6 linked regions of the Sus scrofa genome follow. The protein of the gene in region 6 purifies or fractionates together with the protein of the main gene of each other region. This does not show direct contact. Links are inferred from orthologs where the notes say so. Each region holds a gene or a part of one and is shown on either strand. Other genes may lie near its edges.

Region 1 (3,500 bases), on a different chromosome or scaffold from region 6:
TTCTACCTAACCCAAATCCTCACACAGGGCAGCCAGAGCAGCTGTAATATTATATTTTCCATTAGCCACGTTTCAGTTGGTTAAAAGGTTAAAAGAAAAACAAGTAGAATACAACTCCTGAAATATAAGAATGCTTTTTAAAGACATATCCAAAATAGCATGGATTATTATTATTATTATAAAAAAAAACCCAAACCAAAAGTCCTTTTAATGTGATTGATATTTACCTATATCTCTCTAATATGCTATTTGTTTTTGTACATTCATTTTCCTGCCTGACAGTTGACAATGACACACCAGTTACTCTTGGGGTATATCTGACCAAGAAGGAACAGAAGAAACTTCGAAGGCAAACAAGGAGGGAAGCACAGAAGGAACTACAAGAGAAAGTCAGGCTGGGCCTGATGCCTCCTCCAGAACCCAAAGGTACATATCGTAGAGGCAAGAAAGAAAGGGTGGCAAGTTTATCTCTGTCACTCTAGAAGAACTTGAGCATCTCCCTACATTTTTTTTGTTTTTTGTTTCTCAGAATCATTCATTGATTCTTTTTTTCCTTTCCTAAATTTTCTACTGTCTTATTAAGACAGGTCAACATAGTCATTGTAGAGGTCATTTAAGGCTTTTTTAAAAAGTAGTATTGACCATGTAACACTCTGGAAGAATAATAGCTTTGAAATTCATCAAGATAGTAGTTGGAGTATCTGCATAGAGTAGTTACGTTCATAATTCTAATGTTCAAAAAATGAAAATCTAGTTAAACCTCACTCCTATAGTCTCCGTTATCATTTAGTAATACTTTGAGTTTATGTATAGGACCTTTCACTAAATGCTGTGATCAGAGTGAAAAATGCCAAAGAATTAAATTCTCTGTCTTTTGTAAATTTTCAAGCAATGTGAATAAATGCATACCAGCTATTTAGACTAATAGATGTTCCACAAATGCTGAGTTAATTGGATGGTCTTTCAGGGTAGGAGTATCTGGAGAAAGTGAGTTTTGAGCAGAGATTTGAAATAGGCGAATAATATGAATTGGTAGAGAAGAGATTGACGGGTTATCCTAGTTAGAGTAGTGACTTAGGAGATTGATGTCTGTCCTCTCTTCACTACAGTGAGAATTTCAAATTTGATGCGAGTATTAGGAACAGAAGCTGTTCAAGACCCCACGAAGGTAGAAGCCCATGTCAGAGCTCAGATGGCAAAAAGACAGAAGTAAGTGCCATGGGATTGGGTGGAAACCCAGGGCAAGTACCTTTCCCAAACTCTTCTGGGGGAATCCATATTTGGAGGGAGGGGAGAGTCCTCCGTTGCTCTCTCTTTCCCTCAGCCCTGCCTCTGATCTTCAATGCCTTTCTCACTTGTGGATGTCCTTCCTGTCACGACAGAGCGCATGAAGAGGCCAACGCTGCCCGAAAACTTACAGCAGAACAGAGAAAGGTCAAGAAAATTAAAAAGCTTAAAGAAGACATTTCACAGGGGGTACACATATCTGTATATAGGTAGGTGTCCAAACTGGGCCAGCCTTTCCCTTAGAGATATCAAAATATTTTCCAAGTGCTTAAGACAGAATCACTGTGGTCTAAAGCATACCTAACATCAGCCTCAACTCTCTTGTAATGACCTAGTGTAAATCAAGAGCTAGTCAATCTTTTACAATGGCAAGGGTTAAAAAACCTACTCAGAAGAGTAGTTCGCTCTTGAATATTAGTGGTTCTCTCATGAATTTAGTTCTCTGAGGTCTTAGTGAACTAGTACTGGTTCTGAAGAATGAGTGAATGAATATGCTTGTTCAGGCTAAAATGTAAACTAAGTATCATTTATCTTCTATGAAGTATATTATTTCTCTAGGAAGCATTAAAAGTTTTTTCCTCAGTTAATTATATCTTTATTCTAATGTGTTAAACCTTTTATTCCCACTCCAAAATAGGCTTTATACACTGTAAATATTTTCTTCCTTTTGTGTTGTTTTCATTTTATTCTTTTATGTCAAGTACATGTGTATCTTTTATTTGAGTTCATGTTTAGTAAATAGTTCTTTATTATAAAAATGGCACATTATGGAAATTCCCATGTGGCATAGCAGGTTAAGTATCTGGTGTTGCTGCAACTGCGGTGTGGGTTTCATCCCTGGCCTGGGAATTTCCATGAGCCACAGTTGCAGCTAGGAAAAAAAAACAAAGGTAGTGAATCCTTACTAAGATAATGAACATTTGAACAACACAAAGGACACTTACTGAAAAAGTCCTTTTCCTATTCTCTGATCTCTTAGGACCACTCACTCTAGGTAGTTGCCACTTACAGTTTTTCATGTGTCCTAGAAATTTTTCATGCATAGTATTGTCACTACATTATAAGCATCTGAAGGGCAAAGAATTTGTTGCTCTTTGTACTCAAGAACAACTGCCATATAAATATTTTTGGATGATGGTAAATATCTTTTCTTCATTCTTAAAGTTTGATCAGGGAAATTGCTATTTGTTTTAGGGTATACACTGCAAACTCTGAAGAAGCTTACAACAGTAGAAATAATTCTAGGAGTTCCTGCCATGGCTCAGTGGTTAACGAACCCGACTAGGAACTATGGGGTTGCGGGTTCAATCCCTGGCCTTGCTCAGTGGATTGGGGATCTGGCGTTGCCGTGAGCTGTGGTATAGGTCGCAGACGCGGCTCAGATCCCGCGTTGCTGTGGCTCTGGTGTAGGCTGGTGGCTACAGCTCCGATTAGACCCCTAGCCTGGGAATCTCCATATGCCGTGGGAAGCAGCCCTAGAAAAGACAAAAAAGACAAAAAAAAAAAAAAAAAGAATTCTAGACTCATCAGTTCTACATTTTAAGCATTTGTATATTTGCTTACTCCACATGCCTTCGTTTTTAGAGAGAAAACTATTTTGGATCCATCTTTATTTGCCATTCCATGCAGGCAGCTACTGATGCTAAAATGAAAGCCATAACTAAACTCTCCCTTCTCCAGAGTTCGAAATTTGAGCAACCCAGCCAAGAAGTTCAAGATTGAGGCCAATGCTGGGCAACTGTACCTGACAGGGGTGGTGGTACTGCACAAGGATGTCAACGTGGTAGTAGTGGAAGGGGGTGAGTCTAAAAAAAATTGAGGGAGAACGTCCCCAGGCAACCCTAGACCTTGAAGTGATTAGCATGGTGGGAAGAAAAGAAAAAAAGATAGTCATTTTAGAGCCGTACCTGAGTATAATATCTTGGGCCTTTGTTTCTGTTTATTGGAGTAGAAGGACCTAAGATGTGGTTCCTGGGACTGCTCTAGCACTTAATGTCTGAGCATTGAATGAGCTCGGAGGTTCTTTCTACCCCATGGTCTTCTGCAACTCTCGCAAAATTCTCCTTCTCTGTTTATAGGCCCCAAGGCCCAGAAGAAATTTAAGCGTCTTATGCTGCATCGGATAAAGTGGGATGAACAGACATCTAACACAAAGGGAGATGGTGAATGGGGGTTAGAGGGGAGTATGTGGGAGGTGGGATGGTACTCTGTCC
Region 2 (3,500 bases), on a different chromosome or scaffold from region 6:
TGCCTCCAGTATTAGTGCCACGGCATACTGAGATCTTAACAGAACTACCACCTCTGGATGATTATACCCACTCCATTCCAGAAAACACTAATTTCCCAGCGGGAATTGAGCCACAGAGTAATTATATCCCAGGTATTTTGGCCCTTTGAGTCTCCTAAAATTTGGGATACATACCAATTGTGTGCATAAACATTCATGTATTAGCATACTAATAGTTTTATGACTGGGCTTTTAAAAAAATGCTCTGGATTTTGAATAGAAAAATTACACCTGTCTGCTTTTCTGGACAGCGGGGCTTATCCTGCTCCAGCAGACAGCAAAACCTTGGAATTTACTTTTTATTCCACTGCAAAAGAAATTTTAACATTTTTTCCCAAAACTCTAGTAGCTTTATTATTTATTATTTTATAGATAAATAGTAATAGAGAAAAATGAAAAAGGATAAAATATAATTTCAGTATTTCTTCGTATTTAGACCTTTAAGTCATGGGTGGTTAAACCGGCAAAGCTTATCTCTCTTTAATTTTATTTGCTTTAACCTTTAAAATAGCACATAATGGTTTGTATTCTTATTTTTGTATCTTCATTGTTTTGAGTATATGACGGAATTTATTTTATTTTGTGAATTTCATTATTAAATTTTGGGGGGCACTGACACTTAAATGAAAAGTTTGGTACTTAAAATTTATAGTTGGCTTACTGAAGAAAGATTGTTAAGAGTTAATGAAGGGGACCTTTAATCCATCTCTTTTTTATCCTCCTTTTGATAATTACAAAATTCTTAGTACATGTCAGCATTAATGTAAAACATTGCTTAAAACTATAACAGTGTTAAATGTTAAACTTTTTCCTTCTTGAAATTATAATTGCTAGTATAAATATTTTTATTTTACATGGAACTTATTTAGATACTCAGATGCCTCCCAAATATAAACATTTTGTTCATAAATCATAATGACATGTTAGAATCCTATTTTTTTTTTAGAGTTCCCGACATGGCGCAGCAGAAACGAATCCAACTAGGAACCATGAGGTTGTAGGTTCGATCCCTGGCCTCGCTCAGTGGGTTAAGGATCCAGGGGTGCTGTGAGCTGTGGTGTAGGTCAAAGACACGGCTCAGATCTGGCATTGCTGTGCCTGTGGCGTAGGCTGGCAGCAACAGCTCCGATTCAACCCCTAGCCGGGGAACTCCGTATGCTGAGGTGCGACCCTAAAAAAAAAAAAAAAAGAGTAGAATCCTGTTTTTTTTTTTTTTTTTCAGGAAATAGTTTACCTTAGTTTTGTGTAGTAGCCTATATTTGAATTTCCCTCAGGATTTACTGGTTAGAAATCCCTGGAGCAATATACTTTTTAGGTAGAATTCAAGTTAGACCAGTCCTAAGCTATATTACTGTATTTTGCCCTAAAGAACCTAGTGTAAGATGTAAGCCTGTATTACTTTGTAATCTGAAATCTTGTTTGGGTGTTTTGTGTGTCCTTTAATCATCTCTAAGTACCCATCTATGATGGCTATTGGTTTAAAAAAGAAAAATGTGGGTACTAATTTCTTTGAAGCATACTGATTCAGATCCGAGGCATTTTTGAAGTTATATTTTTGGCTCTTGCCCCAGAAAATACACATAGGAGAATGAGCCAGATATGTAAATAATAGCTAACAAAATATTCTCCAGAGAGCTCAATTGTATTACCAGTAGGTTTTAAGACTTCTCTTCACCTGTAAGGGTTGGGAAGAACCTGAATCATAAGCCCTCAGTATCCAATATTGCTTTTTTTTTCTTTCTTTCTTTTTTTTTTTTTTTTTTTTCTTTTTAGGGCTGCATCCGAGGCATTTTTTTTTTTTAGGTTCCCAGGCTAGGTGTCAAATTGGAGCTGCAGCTGCTGGCCACCTCTGCGACCTACACCACAGCTCATCACAGCAACTGAGTGAGGCCAGGGATCAAACCTGCAACCTCATGGTTCCTAGTTGGATTCGTTTCCACTGCGCCATGATGGGAATGCATCCAAGTATTACTTTTTATAGTAATGTTATAAAACATTCATGTTTGTTACTTGGAGTGATTTGTTGGTCATCTTTGGTAGCTGGGAGAAAAGATGATGAGATTAGATGGCAGCTATACTTGATTTGTTCTAAACTTTTGTAGAAACGCCACCTCCTGGATATATCAGTGAAGATGGAGAAACGAGTGATCAACAGTTGAACCAAAGTATGGACACAGGTAAGAAATAGTTTTCAAAATTTCTCTGTAGTTAGATAATACATTTTTGCCTTGTTTAAAACTCACTAGAGTTACTCATAACCTTTACATTTAAAGAAGTTGGACACATATCCAAAAAAAATCTTTTATCTTGGTTTAATCATATTCGGACCATCAAAGGGAGGACTTGTTCTCAGTGAAAGATTAACATATGCTCCTCTGCAGAAGAATTGTTAGAATTTTCTCTCATTAGAGTAAATGAAGAACACTCAGATACTTTTGTAAGTATTCTGTGCTTCTGTTTAAAGTTTTAGTTACTCTGAATAAATATCTTTGTGATGACTCTTTTAGCCCAATAACAAATTTTCAGAGGAATTTAGAGCTAAGAGATGGGATCAGCTTTTCAGTGCTCTTTTAACTTAATAGTGAGTTCTGAATTATTGTAGCTCATTTACACCAAATACCTTGTACACTATGCCTGATCTAATTCAATTAATTTCTAACATTTAGCTACCAGTTTCCAATACAACGAAGAGAAAATTTTAACATGTAATAAATATCACACACACCAAAGCTTTAAAACAGTTATGTAATAAAATGTATATAACTCATCAGAACTAATAGGTTACCAGTGAAATAGCTACGATGTCAGTGTAATTGTCTGTTTTGATCTATTCCACCCTGCTTATAGCTTAGGGATTGGTCACCTTAATATCCCAACCTGTCAGAGTATAGCATCAGCTTTTTTACATTTTATAGTAAAGCATTCTGCACTTATGATAATATTAGTTATTTTTTAAATGGTGGGGACTAAGATGGTTGGCCTTTTTTTTTTTTTTCTTCCTTCTTTTAAATGGCTGTACCTGTGACATATGGAATTTCCCCGACTAGAGACTGAATTGGAGCTGCAGCCAAGGCCCCCACCACAGCCATGGTAACACCAGATCTGAGCCGCATCTGTGACTTACACTGCAGCTTAAAGCAACACCAGATCCCTAACCCACTGAGCTAGGCCAGGGATTGAACCCGCATCCTCACAGAGACTATGCCATGTTCTTAATCTGCTGAGCCACAACAGGAACTCCTGGCTTTTAGAATAATTTTGTTGTTTAAATTCTTCCATTATTTAAACTCCTAGGTAAAGAAGCTTCTGCTATAGCTAATCACATTTTTTTAAAATAGGAGATATCCAGAGTTCTCTGCTGGTTCAGCAGGATAGGGATCCAGCATTGTCACTGCTGTGGCTCAGGTTACTGCCATGGCTTGGGTTTAACATCTGGCCCAAGAACTTCCAGCCATTGATGT
Region 3 (3,943 bases), on a different chromosome or scaffold from region 6:
GAAAAGCAAAACCAGAGACAATCTGTTTAAGGAATTCTAAATTTTTGACATACCCTGGGCTTCAAAGGGGAGATGCCAAGACCTCACTTGCCTTTCAGCTGCCCTTGGAAAACTGCACACAAAATTTCAAATCTGATAGGCAGCTCTAAAAGTCCTTTCTTGAGCCGCTTTATTGGCCGATGTAGGAACTTGGGCCCAGAGAGACAGAGTCGCCTCAGGTGTGGCAGAGACAGAATCAGATCTCCCGACTTTATGTCTCTGCCCGCCAGGAGGATCCCTAGGAAATGACACAAAACACAGCACGTTCATTACAAAGGTGAGGTCGGAGACTTTGGTTCGCGTCCCCAGACCGCCGAGAGCCCGGGGAAGGGGCTCTTGTAGGCTTCCCTCTGGCAGCCCCCCTCTGCAGGCCAGGCTGCGGCCCAGGCGAGCCCAGAGCTTCACCCACACCCCTCGCTCCTTCCCAGACTGGAGCAGAGGGCCGGGGAGGGGGCCTGGAAGGGTCTCTTAACAACAAAAGGCAAAAGTGGGGGTCTGCGGGGGTCAGAATTTCCTCGGGAGCTCTGGGGCTTGCCCTGTGACCTCGTAAAAAAAGAACTCGCCCACTAAATGTCTAACCTGAAGGCAGCAAGGGGCTGCAGGCAACGCCCAGGCTCGGCGGGCGGGGGGGTGCGAGCGCGGCGCCGCGCGGCAGCCGGGCCCTCGGGGTCCTTCCCGGCAGGCACTCGGCCCTCCGCCCGCCCTTCCTCGCTCCCCTCCCCCACACCCCTCCCCCACGGCCCTTTCCTTTTCTTTCTTTCCCGGGTCTGCTCGCCCCCACCCCGGCGGCGCCCGCTCGGCAGCTCGCCCAATGGTCGCGGGGCCGGGACGCGCATCAGCTGATCTGCCCGGGCTCCGGCCACTGGGAGCCAATCAGGACGCCGGGGGCGGCCCCAGCCGCCGATAAAAGCTGCTGGGCGGCGGACCGCCTTGCAGAGCCGAGAATGGGAGAAGAGCGGATGGTTTAAGGAGCACCCTCGGCCTCCTCGCCTCTCCGCTCCGATTCTCGCTCTCGCGGCCTGCCCGCCCTGCCTCCTGCTCGCCGCCCAGGTAAGCGCCCGCCTCGACCGGGGGCTCGGCAGTGACGCGCGCCTCCCGAGCCACCGCGCCGGGACGGATCGGTTCGGCTCGGCCCTTGCCACCTCCTGCTCCTTCTCAGCGCCTCGGCCTGCGGCGCCTCCCGCAGGCTTCAGCCGCTCGTAGCTCCCGCGGGTCTCGGTTGGCGATGGCTGGGCGCGCGCATCGACGGGCTTCGAGGAGGGCGGGGAGCTGTTTTGCTCTTCCTTCAGCTGCTTGCGGCCAGAGGCGTCGCCCCTGGAGGTCGCTCAGCGGGGCGAGTGGTGGAGGCACTGCCCGGGCCCGGAGCCCCCGGCCCGGCGGTGTGGCGGAGTGGTCCCTCGGTGGAAGCTTCGCTCTCCTCCTCCGCAGTGGCGGGCCCTGGGGCGGATCGGCGCGGTTAGACGCCTGCGTGGAGGCAAAGGACCGTGAGCGTGTGCAGGGCGGCCGCTCCCGCCGCGGGGTCCCGGGGGCCTACCCCTGTGACTGAACAATGGGGTGCCAGAGGCGCGGTGCGGCCCGGAGGGCGCGAGGGGTGGAGAGGCCTGGCGGGCCGGGCAGGGGCAGCAGTGGCCCGCTGTCCCTCCGGCAGACGTCCCTATTCCCCCTTCCCCCCTCCCCGACCTTGGAGGGGTATGGCCCCCTTGACGAGGCCCTGAGACCCGGGCGGGGCGCCCACGTTCGGGACATTTCAGTGGGAAAGGGCCGCTCTCAAAGTGGATTATTCCAACTGCCCCGGGGGCGGGAAGCGGGGATCCTCCCCGGGCCGCAAATCCGCGAAGACCATCACAAACGAAAATGAAGACGACCTGGAGTCGCGGTCCTCAGGGTCCCCCTCCAACTGCTTCGGCTTCGTCGCCTACTCAGTGAACGCTGGAGAGAAACCGCGAGTCAAAATCAAGTCCTTGACCCACCAGCCTTCGTATTCCTGCTCATCCCGGTCGGATCTCGACCCCTCCCCGACTCCGACTCCCTCTCCCTCTCCGTCTCCCTCGCCCAGAAAGCTCCGGTGCGTGGACCAGCGGGAGCCCGAGACCCACGAGAGGCGCGAACGCAGCTCCAAAAGGAGAAGGGCTAAGGAGGGCAACCCCATCGATACCATTGACCTTATGTGGCTGGGGTGAGTGAGGAGGCAGGGATGAGGACCCTAACTGCAGACACGGCTAAAACCTGCAGCATCCCATCCCCTCCCACCACCACCACTAATCTTGTTACCTGGGCGGCGGCACCAGTTAACATAATAGTAGACTAGGATGTTGGCAATCGACTTGTAATGGAACCGAGCTGGCACCACTGAAAAGAGCAGAACCCAAGCTTAAGGGAGAAAGTGTGTCTTGAAGTCGGAGATGTAACAGGTTGGGGTGGAAAGCCCGGAGATAGGATTCTTTATAAGAGTCAGGGATTTTTGTTGTTCCTGCCTTTAAAGGCTGGATGAGTTGGGGATAGGGGGAGCAGTATTTGACAGACCAAATCTTCTAAAGGGAATAGGCAAAAGTAGTGGTTGTCTGCTAACACGACATGACAGAGAGCTTCTCTTCCCCTCGGGGAAGGGTGAGGCTGTCCGAGGGAGAAGCAGTTTTGTTTTCAGCTGGGCAAACATGGGCCGGTTGCCCATAGAAACTTTGCCACTGTACTTCAGAAAGTTGCCCAAGTCATTGGAGGAGAACAATGTGTTCCCTTTGCAGCCACCCAGGGCTATCAACCCGGGACTGGAGGGGTAGAACGTTTCCTCTTGTGTTGAGGTTTGATTTTGTGGCCTCAGTGTCTCTTCTTTAAGGGGTTTGCAGTTTTTAGTATGCCTAGAGGCTTTTGAAACCCCAGATCTTTTTGATTTAGAAGTGGGGATTTTTTAATTCCTTGCAAAGTTCTCTGGTGGAATCTGGTCATTCTCAAACTGAAACTGACTTTCTGAAGTGAGAACTGATGAAAATTGACCATGTGCATCTTAGAATCCAGCTTGAATCAGCTATTTTTATATCCTGGTGGTTATAATAACTGCAGTTGTTTTAGGAAGCCACCAACCTCTTAAACCTTCTAGCTGGGCCCCTTGTTTCACCCTACCAACTTTATGTGGGTGGCAGGAGAGTGTTTGGTTTTTGGAGGGGTGGAGGAATCTTCAAAAGGATTTTTTATTGAGATATCCTCTGGGGTGCAAGGAAAAGGGAAGACAGTCCAGAGATCATAGCAGCTAAGCCTTGCTGTGGTTGGCGTCTACTTGGAGACGCAGTCTGTTCTGCAAACTTTCCTGTTTCTGAACTTCTGTATTTTCTTTTTTGTGTGTTTTGGGGTTTTTTCCTCTTCTGGTATCTTTAGTATGAGAAATGAAAAATTCCTCTACCTCTGGTACACTGCAAAAAATAGAACTTGGTCCTCACAAGTTTAGATTCTAGCTTGAGGAGGCTTATCAGGAGATTTTTGTCTAGTATAAACTTTTAGAAAGTTCCTTGTGGTGCAGTGGGTTAAGGAAGCGGCATTCCTACCACTGTGGCGGCGCAGGTTTGATCCCTAGCCCAGGAACTTCCACATGCCGAGAGTGCAGCCACAAACACACTTTTTAATCTCTCTGAAAGCAAATTAAAAATGTACTGTGTGTGTGTACAATTAAATAAATGTACTGTGTGTACTTTTGTGTGTGTGTGTGTGTGTGTGTGTGGTTTCCAAAGGGAAGGGCCACCACTCCCACTTGACTTCTTGATTTAATTATCCCTAATGAGTCATTCCTGCAGTGGGTTTGTCTGGAGTTGGTGTTCTTAGTTGTTTTCTGTTTTCTCTCTTTTTCTCCAGAACACCGTCCACCATGGCCACCTCAGCGAGCTCCCACTTGAACAAAGGCATCAAGCAGGTGTAC
Region 4 (3,500 bases), on a different chromosome or scaffold from region 6:
AAATCAAGCTCAGAGAATTTACTGTTTGTGTTGGACGTTCAGTTAATCATACTAGTCCAACAGCAGTTTACATTCACACTGAGATAAAAAACATGGCTAATTGGCGCATTGTAGCTGTTTTGTAGTGGAGGTAAATTAGCATTGCTGCAAGATTCAAGCATTATATCCACTGGACACTTGCCTAAGTTTGATGTTTTCTGCAGGTTTGATATTTTCTAGCTTGGTTTGATTATTCGTGTTGTAAGTGAATTAAAGGATACTTAACATATTTTCCCTAAACGCTTTTAAGATGATCGTGTTTAAATAAATGTAACTTTTAATTTTAAATTCATAAATTCCGTGTATTTATATATGATTTATACTTATTTCTAGGGGCCACCTACAGATGCTCCTGCTGTGGACACAGCAGAACAAGTCTATATCTCTTCCCTGGCACTATTGAAAGTAAGTATTGAATGTAAATACTTGTTTTAGAGAGCTCTGCTGCTTGCACTGTATCTTTTAGTTTGTAATAGTTTTCACGTTAATCCTCTCATACATAAGCTGTTGTTTTAGGTACATCTATAGAGTATGTTTCCAGTGAAATGCAATTGGGTTATGAATTTATTTTAAAAAGGGTCCAAAGATCTCAAAGCTTTGTGTCTCTATCTTCCTCTTTACAGATGTTAAAACATGGTCGCGCTGGAGTTCCAATGGAAGTTATGGGTCTGATGCTTGGAGAATTTGTTGATGATTACACCGTCAGAGTGATTGATGTGTTTGCTATGCCACAGTCGGGAACAGTGAGTACTTTCATGGTTGCCTGCTGCAAGTAAATTTGTTTCTTTTCTTTTCTTATGCAGAATAACTCATCATATTGTAATTTTCTCTTTATGATAGGAAAAATTCATCATAAGACTAATGATAGGAAATTTTATATTGTAGTGAATTAAATCATTGATCTTTTAAATGCATCATAAATTCCCTATAGGTCCACAAACTGAGTGATGCTAACAGTCTCTTTCCTTGTACCTTCAGCTTTAACTAGCAACACATTCTGGGTTTATAAATTAGTTACGTTAAGATAGTAGAATATTAGTTTGATTAGTTTGAACACTAGGTTCAAATGATTTTAGTGACTCTCTTAATTAGATTTTTAATTCACGTGCATTATCCAATCCTCATGTTTTGTTCTGATTGTTTTGAAATATGGCTCTTACAATATTCTATATATGGTGATAGATGACTCTTAAGCTTTTCTGATGCAAAATGTTAAGTTTCAGAAACCCAAAACACCATGACAAACTTTAGTTCTTTTTGCCTAGGTATGGTAATTTGCTTATAGAAGAAGTGTATTGAATGTAGATTTTGAAAGTCCTCTACTCTGCTCCTTTAGAGCTCATTGTTCTTTCTGGGAGTTTTTTGTTTTGTTTTGTTGTTTTGTTTAATTCGTTGGACTTGTAGATAGGTGTATATTCAGATTTTTTTTTAAATGGCCAAAAAACAACTGTTCTACTTCCCTTCTCATCTATTTGCCTAGGAATATATATTTACTTGATGAATTTTTTTCTCTAATATGCAACACTGTTCTTATTGAGCCTTGTAAAATATCTGGATTAAAGAAATTGTCATAAAACTGTTTGCTCTGCTTGAGGCTCTTTACTGTGAGTATACTTTGATAAAGTGAATGCTAGAGAAAAACAAATCCTATTTTAAAATAATGAAGTGTATATGTGTATATATACATATACATACCTATATATAATAAACATTTTTGTTCTTGTTCTGTTTTGTTTGCTACTTCAGCAGTATGTGGAAGGTCCCAGGCCAGGGGTCAGACCCATGCCAGAGCAGTGACATCGCCAGATCTTTAACCCACAGGGCCACCAGGGAACTCTATGATAAGCACTTTAAATAGAGTAGTTGCTGCAGAATACAGTGTATTTATAAATAATGCAAAATACAGAAAAAGACACAAGTTTTTTTCTCCAAATAGATCAGTTTGTTGAGGTAAAGTAATTTAGACCTGCAGATTTTGTCCACCTGGATTTATATCCATTGTATTTATTTTGTGTATTTGGGCATAGAGAAATACACTCCATATTACCTAAAGATATAGGTTTAAATCTTAGACTATTATTACTTGTATCTATTTTTTTATGTCAGAATATATGAAGCATACTAAAATAAAAGCATTTTGTTATTTCTGTTATGTATCGTCCTTAGTCGATGTTCATTATAAAAAGGGTTGTTAAGCTTTAATATCATGTATTTATTTGTAAATGCTTACTTGACAACATAAAATAGAGTTAGGGTTAGGGTTAGGGAATATTAGAATATTATATTTGATCCCTAGGTTCACTCCGTGTATTAGAATTGGAAAGTTTTTCTTCTAGCCTAAGAGTTAGCAAACTTTTTCTGTAAAGACATATGTCTCTGTCTCCTATTCCTGGTTTATTTATTTTTTTTAAACCACCCTTTAAAATGTAAAAAAAAAATCTTAGCCTGTAGGCAGCAGATTGCATACCCCTGTTCTTGAGGATGCACTCTCAATTAGAATTCAAAATACTGTTTGTTTTGGTGGGAAGAAGTACTTATGTTAACTGGTTTGTTTAAATAGATTAGACTTAAATTCCTGATGTTAAAGGAAAGCCTGGAGGGAACTATAATGGCAGTGATCTCTCCCTGGAGAGATGATATGAATGCCTTTAGTTCTTCATATCCTAAAATTTTCTTTTGGTTGAACTAGTGAAATAATGCAACATTTAAAAGACTTGATTACAGATTGTCTCTTGTGGGGAATTTTTTGTGAATGCTTTCATATTTGAGGTAATAATCAAAAGTATATATTTCCCTCCAATTGTCTAATCTACCAAGTAGTCCTAACTAAAGCACAGAACTTCCTCCCCACCCCTCAGAAAATGAATGCAACTCTGGGAAAACTAATAAATTACTTTCCTTCCTCAATGTGTTTACTGGGGGGTGGGGGTGAGGGGGAAGAGAGAGAAACTTGAGGCTGTTGCTTATTATAGTAGAATAGTTGTAGAACTTTGGATGAGATGTACTGAGACCTAGTGCTTATCAGTTATCAAAGGATGACAGGAAGTATGCTTGCCTAGATAGTGCTAACCAAAAAATAGTTGGTTTACCTATCGGGGTTATTTCTTTGTGTGTGTGTGTGTGTGTGTGTGTGTGTGTGTGTGTGTGCGCGCGCGCACACATTAGTCATGATCTTAAACTCTTTTAAAGGGTCTTGTAAATTATCCTAACTCATTAGCGTTAGCAGTTTGGTACTTGGCAAATTTAGAAGTTTTATTGCTGTATGGTTTATAATCAGATGACTTGAGTGGGTATCAAATATGGTTACCAAAACCTGCATAGGTTTTTAGCTTTTTGTTCATTACATTGTAATATAAAATTTTTTTTCATTGTTATAGAAGCTCATCATTTTTCTTTCTCTCTAAACCAGGGTGTCAGTGTAGAAGCAGTTGATCCAGTGTTCCAAGCCAAAATGTTAGATA
Region 5 (3,500 bases), on a different chromosome or scaffold from region 6:
TTTTGGCTTTTAGGGCCATACCCGCGGCATATGGAGCTTCCCAGGCTAGGAGTCCAATTGGAGCTGTAGCCTCCAGCATACACCACAGCCACAGCCACGCCAGATCCAAGCTGTGTCTGCGACCTACACCACAGCTCACGGCAACGCTGGATCCTTAACCCACTGAGCAAGGCCAGGGACTGAACCCATGTCCTCATGGATCCTAGTTGGGTTCATTACCACTGAGTCACAACAGCAACTTCGAGATCACATTCTTCCTAAGGCTTTGGTTTTCCTCTCCTTTGTAATGGGCATGATGGCTCTGGCCCTGCCACCTCTGCCACTGGTTGGGCCCCTAGCCAGTCCCTTGGTGCCTGTTCTCTTCCAGGGCCCATCAACAGGGAGATGCGCCACCTGATCAGCAGCCTCCAAAACCACAACCACCAGTTAAAGGGGGACGCCCAGCGATACAAGCGGAAGCTGCGGGAAGTGCAGGCTGAGATCGCCAAGGTGAGGAGAGGGCTGCCTGGGAAAAGCTGTGGCTACATGCCAGTAAGCATGTCACCCCCCCATCCCTGTTCTCTCTCTGCTTTGCAGCTCCGGGCCCAGGCCAGTGGCTCTACCCACTCCATCCCCACCCTGGGCCACCCAGAGGACTCCGGCCTCAGCACCCCAGCCCCAGGGAAAGAAGAAGGTGGCCCAAGCCCTGTTGTTGCCCCTGACACCAGAAAGGAGGTGGCTTCAATGCCTGGCACCACTATTACTACCTCCTCGGCAAAAAAGGAAGACTTGGGCCCCCCAGAGGAAGAAGCCCAGGCCCTGAACCCCGGGGCCCAGGGCCCCTCCTCCCGGGGCCGAGAACCCGAGGCCAGGCCCAAGCGGGAGCTTCGGGAACGCGAAGGGCCGGGCCTGGGACCCCCATCTGTGGCCTCGGCACTCTCCCGGGCTGATCGGGAGAAGGCCAAGGTGGAGGAGGCCAAGAGGAAGGAATCAGAACTCCTCAAAGGTCTCCGCGCAGAGCTCAAGTGAGGCCCTCCTCCTTTCTCCTTCCAACCGCTGCCCAGTGGCCTCCAACCCTAGTCACCAAGGCTTCCTCCTGTACCCCCCCAGGAAGGCCCAGGAAAGTCAGAAGGAGATGAAGCTGCTGCTGGACATGTATAAGTCCGCGCCCAAGGAGCAGCGGGATAAGGTGCAGCTCATGGCAGCCGAACGCAAGGCCAAGGCTGAGGTGAGGGCAGGTAGGGCCTGTGGGACGCGCAGAGAAGCTGCCTCAGGGGGTTCAGACCAGAGTGGAGCCCTAGGGGTGCAGTACTGGGATAGAAGAGCTCCCTCCTCTGGTGCTGATAGGTCGACGAATTGCGGAGCCGGATCCGGGAACTGGAGGAGAGGGATCGGAGAGAGAGCAAGAAGATCGCCGATGAGGATGCCTTGCGGCGCATTCGTCAGGCAGAGGAGCAGATAGAACATCTGCAGCGCAAGTTGGGTGCCACCAAGCAGGTGTGACCCCCTTCTGGTCCCCTTGCCTCTGAATGTTGGAATTCTCCAAACTTCTTGTAGTAGTACACAGCCTGCATTTGCTCAGTGGTTCCTCGGTCAGCCGTGTGTTCCTCTGGTTTCCCCGCTGTCCTGTCCCTCTGCCACATTCCCTCTTGCCCCTGCCCACTTGCTGCAGGAGGAGGAGGCTCTGCTGTCCGAGATGGATGTGACAGGCCAGGCTTTTGAGGACATGCAGGAGCAGAATGGGCGGCTGTTGCAGCAGCTGCGGGAAAAGGACGATGCCAACTTCAAGCTGATGTCTGAGCGGATCAAGGCCAACCAGATTCATAAGCTGCTGCGGGAGGAGAAAGATGAGCTGGGCGAGCAGGTTCTTGGCCTCAAGTCTCAGGTAAGCTTGCCATGGGCTGGGAGAGTGGAGCTGGAGAGGCAGGGATGTCCCAGCACTGAGTCCCCACCCCTGCCCTCAGGTGGATGCCCAGCTGCTGACCGTGCAGAAGCTGGAGGAGAAAGAGCGGGCCTTGCAGGGCAGCCTTGGGGGTGTAGAGAAGGAGCTGACGCTGCGCAGCCAGGCCCTGGAGCTCAACAAGAGGAAGGTGAGGCTGTACGTGAAGGTACAGCGACCTGGGATGCTGGCTCACACTCTCACTTTGTGATTCTGTCTAGAGAACTCCAAGCAGACCACCTGGGCTGAAGCCCCGCTCTGCTTCCTCTCTCAGCCTGGCTCATGTGTCAAAACACTCATTGAATTCCAGGCCCTGCGCCCAGAACATCCCATGAGTGGTCACGTTTAGGTGTCACCATAACCCCACAGTGGTGTTTGTTGTCATCCTCCTTTCATAAGTGAGGATACGGCTCAGGCAGGTAGTTGACTTGCTTAAGAAAGAGAAGAACCGGAATGTGGGCCTGGGTCTCCCTGACGGCGGCGTTGGCCAGCCATGCGATGGGGCTGGTGGCCCTGTCATGTGGATGGATGAAACCTAGAATGTCAAACTCACGGTGGGTGTTTCTGAGGGGAGCAGACTTAGGAAGGGCCTGTGTCACCATCTTGGTTTCACTCTTCTAGTTCATAGTAAAGGCTTACAGTTAACACTGAGGTGTTCCTTTGTGGCTCAGTGGGTTAAGGATCCAGCATTGTTACTGCTGTGGCGCAGGTTCGATCCCTAGCCTGGGAACTTCTGTGTGCCACAGGTGTGGCCAAAAAGAAAAAAAAAAAAAAAAAAAAAAAAGATGAATGTTGATTTTCATCTTCTTTTCCCAGCTGGACTTTTTCTCCTCCACTGAGCTCATTCATTTACACAGTATTAGTCATGCCCTCGGGAGATATCAGGACCTACACTCAGTGCTGGGGGCTCATGGGAGCAGGACAGCCCTGCTGGAAGTGGGGACTTCCAGATTTTGGGGGGGGGGGTTGTCTTTTTCCCATTTCTTGGGCTACCCCTGCAGTATATGGATGTTCCCAGGCTAGGGGTCTAATCAGAGCTGTAGCCGCCGGCCTACGTCAGAGCCACAGCAACGTGGGAACCGAGCCTCGTCTGTGCCCTCCAGCCCTACACCACAGCTCACGGCAACACCAGATCCTTAACTCACTGAGTGAGGCCAGGGATCGAACACGCAATCTCATAGTTCCTAGTTGGATTCCTTAACCCCTGAGCCACCACAGGAACTCCCGGGAATTCCAGTTGTGAGGGATGGATAGGAATCCTACAGATGAAATAGCATTATTACAGATGGCAGTAAGTTTTATGAAGGAAACTGAAGTGCATAAAAAAAAAAAAATAGTATATAGCCTTTCTTGGGAAGGGACACTGAGCTGAGGCTTAGGAGGAGTGGCAGGAAAGAAGTGTGTGTGCAGGGGGAGTTGAGGGGAACAGAGAGGAGCCCTGTGCTCTTCAGGAGAGCATCATGCAGCTGAGAAACTGACAGTGTTGGGGATGAGGGAGAACAGGAGGAGGTGAGGGTGGAGAGGTCCGGAGGCAGCACCAGCTCCAGTGGATATACTGGACTTGATCCCAAGAGCAGGAATC
Region 6 (3,500 bases):
TAAGACAAAAAGGGGTTGTTCCACAAAAGGATCAACTGTCAAAGTTTATCCTTTTAAATAAAACTATTTGTAAGAGTTCTTCATATTAGTATGAGCAGTGTGTATGAAGAAATCAAGCATCTGACATTTGTTATAATTACAGAGTGCATATGTGATAAATTCCTATTTTCTTCCAACTGTAAACTTGTGGTGTAAAAAGCTAAAAGAATTCATGCTTCCTGGGTGTGAAATTACCTCAGTAATGTGTTTTTCATGATCAAGAAATGAATCAGACTGTAATTTGATTTCTTTCATTGCTACCTGTCTAAACAGTGTTGAGATAATATAGACAACTAATGACATTCTGAGAGTACCTTGCATGTTTACTTTTATTAGTTATTTAATATTTTATTTTGTAAATGAGAACTGTTTCGCACTTACCACATTCTCACAAGCAGAAGATTATAGAGTTTATCTTCAGTATTGTTTCGTGGTACAGCCATAAGAAAAGGCTGACCAAAAAGTGAGGAACCAGTATGGTGGGTATAACTTGAGTGTCTAAATTTTTCTCTCAGGCAAACAGGAATAATCACATGCTCTGTATCTTCTGTCCTATTGATGTTAATTTCAAACCTACAAGGATAAAACTGACTATAACTCTGAAAATTTTATGATATTTCCTTTAAATTTTTTCTCAAGTAATATTTTCCACAATAAATTTTATACTTACACATAAATATCATCCCGTTCCATAATACTACTAAGGTTTTCATCCATAGCAAATATTCTGTGAAATCTATGATTGTATATATCAGTAACTATCATCTAAAAGAAAATAAATTTCTATTAAGCTGGTTTTACAACACTGAAAAACTAAACTCCAACTCACATACTTTAAATCCCAAAACACCCTACCTTATCTGCAGGTACTCCTGAAAGAGTAGACAACGCTGTACAAAGATCAAGTATGTTTCCAATTTTGGGGACAACCACTTTGTACTAAAAAACAAAAAAATTATAACAAATGTTTTACTTTGGAAAAAATATTCACTAGGTAAGACTAACCTTCTGGTTGCTACAGTTGGCATCTGGCTCACACTGTCCATCTCCAATCTTGTCATCATTCTGGGTAATGAAGTCCATGTGGATGATTTATCTTAGCCTTATTGTTTCTTGACACCTCAATTCAAAGACCTATACTTGCACTCAACTGTAGTTCACTTCTTGGGCCTTGTCATCCCCTGCTCCCCTCCTGATATCATTTTTAAACTCTTAACTGTGTAACCACTATTTACTTTTCCTAGAAACTCATGCTTTCCTATTCTTGGCCTGCACTGAGATATCTAGTCCTTTTATTAAAAGACTGAACTTTCCCCTAGCTTACTAGTTCCCTACCATCCCCATGGCCTTCCATCCAGACTTGATGTGATTCATCACTTCAACTATTCTACCGTAAATCTTAAACTACTTTGTCAATAGTTTTTTTCTTGCTATACTTTCTTAGAGTTGTTTAGATATGCTAAACTGCCCAACTTTAGAGGTTAGTGTGCTACAAATTCATAGTGCCCAGTATCAACTGATTCTTCAACACTAGCCAGAAATTCTTCTGTGTGTCCTTTATTTGCTTATTCTCCTCTATTTCATGATAACTATTTAAAATCTTCACCATTCCTTAGGCTTCCTATTTCACCACTTCTCCCCTCACTATTTGCAGAATACCTATTTCACTGAGGAAATAAGTGGCTACTGGATAGGAAAATCTCTAATTTCCTGTTCCCCCTACAAACTTGAGTCTGAAAGGTTCCTTTCTTTGTCTCCTCCCACATATGGAAAGAGAATCAGGGGTTATTCCTTCCATTCAAAGCTAACCCTAGCATCTAAACTCTGAATCCTATCCTTTTTTGGCCTCCTCTAGAACATAAACCCAGCAATCATCCTTTATTTCATTTTATCTTGACTCTTTTATAAATATTGAAATGCATACAAGTCTGAAAAAACAAAACAGTCTCTCATTGCTTTCTTATAATTCTCCTCTAATTATCTCCCTTTCTCTTAGGCTTTATAAATAACCTCGTTAATGCTTACACTGACTACTGGTAATTTCTTCACTTCCCATTCACTTATTAATCCACTGCTGGATTCGGTCTTAACTTCTTTATTTAACTTGCTACCAAAGCTGTCTATACTGTCATTTAACCAAATCTTCATCAGTCCTTATTTTACTGACCTCTCTGTAGCCTGACTGCTGACCACTTCTTCCTTTAAAATTTTTCTTTCCCTATAGCACTACTACTACTTATTCTTTTCTAATGCCCTGGTCATACCTTCTTTTGAGGAAATAACTGACCCTCTAGTGTTGTCCTTCAGAGTTTTATCCTTAGCCTTCTTGATTCTATATGCTCTTAGACTAGGTGACTATTCTGGTTTGCTTTGGATAGTCCTGGATTAGCCTGCTATCCTGGCATAACTATTAATAAAGGCCCTACTTATTTTTTTTAAAAAGTTCTGGTCTATATGATACATTAAAGGATCACCCTAGCCTTAGGTGATCTCATTCTTCTAAGACATTCTTCTAGGGCAGATCTCTCTTCTCTAGCCTACATAGATAAAGTCAATCAATGCCTACTGATATCGCTCCTAAATTTTCCTCATGAATCTCAACATGTCCATATGCAACAGAGATTTGGGTCATTTTAGGTCAACATAGCAATAACTAAAACAGGTTTCTTCCTATATATTCCAATAAAACAAACAGTTCCACTCTCTCCTGTTTTCCAGTTGAATGAACTGAATACTCTTAAACATGTTCAACTCCTACATTCAACTGGTTCTTCTATCTAACTGCCACCCTGACACATACCTTAAAAGTCCCCTGTCATTTGTCAGTGCAAAAGCTTCCTACCTGGTCTTAGTACTTCTGATTTAGGCATTTCTAATCCAATCTTTCCACTAGCCAGAGTATTCTTTCTAAAATACAAATCTGACAATATAATCTCTTTACTTAATAACCTTACATGGTTCCCTCATTCTTTAGGATGAAGTCCAAACTTCCTATCTTAGCATTAAGGTTCTTTGTGATCTAGCTTCTGCCTACCGTATTATTTACTTATAGTTTCCATAAGCAGACCATGTTCTCTTTTGCCTCAGCCCTCTCTTGATCTATAATGTTTTATTCCCAACCTTCACGTGCTTAAAACCTAATGATCCCGAGTTTCTGTTGTGGCTCAGTGGTAATGAACCAATGAAGGATGTGGGTTCAATCCCTGGCTTCACTCAATGGGTTAAGGATCTGGAGTTGCTGTGAGCTGTGGTGTGGGTTGCAGATGCAGCTTGGATCCTGCGCTGCTGTGTCTGTGGTGTAGGCTGGAAGCTGCAGGTTCTAATTCGACCCCTAGCCTGGGAACGTTCATATGCTGTGGGTGTGGCCCTAAAAGACACCCCTTTCCCCCAAAATAACCCTAGTCATCCTTCAGGATTTAACACAGGTGTCATCACTGGTTTGAGGTTATTCCTTCTGTATG

Evidence for each region.
Region 1: the proteins of USP15 (region 6) and PRPF3 purify together in Homo sapiens (affinity purification with mass spectrometry; 3 studies listed by BioGRID and IntAct, with this or other methods). This does not show direct contact. The link is inferred for Sus scrofa from reciprocal best matches to the Homo sapiens genes USP15 and PRPF3.
Region 2: the proteins of USP15 (region 6) and SMAD2 purify together in Homo sapiens (affinity purification with western blotting; 4 studies listed by BioGRID). This does not show direct contact. The link is inferred for Sus scrofa from reciprocal best matches to the Homo sapiens genes USP15 and SMAD2.
Region 3: the proteins of USP15 (region 6) and GLUL purify together in Homo sapiens (affinity purification with mass spectrometry; 3 studies listed by BioGRID, with this or other methods). This does not show direct contact. The link is inferred for Sus scrofa from reciprocal best matches to the Homo sapiens genes USP15 and GLUL.
Region 4: the proteins of USP15 (region 6) and PSMD14 purify together in Homo sapiens (affinity purification with mass spectrometry; 3 studies listed by BioGRID). This does not show direct contact. The link is inferred for Sus scrofa from reciprocal best matches to the Homo sapiens genes USP15 and PSMD14.
Region 5: the proteins of USP15 (region 6) and RNF40 purify together in Homo sapiens (affinity purification with mass spectrometry; 4 studies listed by BioGRID and IntAct, with this or other methods). This does not show direct contact. The link is inferred for Sus scrofa from reciprocal best matches to the Homo sapiens genes USP15 and RNF40.

The regions. Positions count from the first base shown.
Region 1 is NC_010446.5:98,751,225-98,754,724, reverse strand, and holds part of PRPF3 (U4/U6 small nuclear ribonucleoprotein Prp3), read left to right. Parts: intron 1-282; coding exon 283-426; intron 427-1,109; coding exon 1,110-1,209; intron 1,210-1,382; coding exon 1,383-1,496; intron 1,497-2,967; coding exon 2,968-3,086; intron 3,087-3,365; coding exon 3,366-3,449; intron 3,450-3,500. UniProt on the Homo sapiens protein: Plays a role in pre-mRNA splicing as component of the U4/U6-U5 tri-snRNP complex that is involved in spliceosome assembly, and as component of the precatalytic spliceosome (spliceosome B complex).
Region 2 is NC_010443.5:97,446,224-97,449,723, reverse strand, and holds part of SMAD2 (mothers against decapentaplegic homolog 2), read left to right. Parts: coding exon 1-132; intron 133-2,141; coding exon 2,142-2,216; intron 2,217-3,500. UniProt on the Homo sapiens protein: Receptor-regulated SMAD (R-SMAD) that is an intracellular signal transducer and transcriptional modulator activated by TGF-beta (transforming growth factor) and activin type 1 receptor kinases.
Region 3 is NC_010451.4:123,759,576-123,763,518, reverse strand, and holds the start of GLUL (glutamine synthetase), read left to right. Parts: upstream 1-1,353; intron 1,354-1,573; coding exon of another isoform or gene 1,574-1,785; intron 1,786-1,923; exon of another isoform or gene 1,924-2,095; 5' UTR 2,096-2,204; coding exon 2,205-2,215; intron 2,216-3,879; coding exon 3,880-3,943. Other genes in the region: serine/arginine repetitive matrix protein 2-like, read right to left, coding at 127-277, 619-1,353, 1,574-1,785. UniProt on the Homo sapiens protein: Glutamine synthetase that catalyzes the ATP-dependent conversion of glutamate and ammonia to glutamine.
Region 4 is NC_010457.5:68,162,879-68,166,378, forward strand, and holds part of PSMD14 (26S proteasome non-ATPase regulatory subunit 14), read left to right. Parts: exon of another isoform or gene 1-366; intron 367-372; coding exon 373-444; intron 445-662; coding exon 663-782; intron 783-3,448; coding exon 3,449-3,500.
Region 5 is NC_010445.4:17,625,991-17,629,490, reverse strand, and holds part of RNF40 (E3 ubiquitin-protein ligase BRE1B), read left to right. Parts: intron 1-364; coding exon of another isoform or gene 365-367; coding exon 368-489; intron 490-576; coding exon 577-1,004; intron 1,005-1,089; coding exon 1,090-1,207; intron 1,208-1,326; coding exon 1,327-1,476; intron 1,477-1,651; coding exon 1,652-1,864; intron 1,865-1,943; coding exon 1,944-2,069; intron 2,070-3,500.
Region 6 is NC_010447.5:27,065,514-27,069,013, reverse strand, and holds part of USP15 (ubiquitin carboxyl-terminal hydrolase 15), read right to left. Parts: intron 979-3,500; coding exon 895-978; intron 805-894; coding exon 710-804; intron 613-709; coding exon 421-612; intron 1-420. UniProt on the Homo sapiens protein: Hydrolase that removes conjugated ubiquitin from target proteins and regulates various pathways such as the TGF-beta receptor signaling, NF-kappa-B and RNF41/NRDP1-PRKN pathways.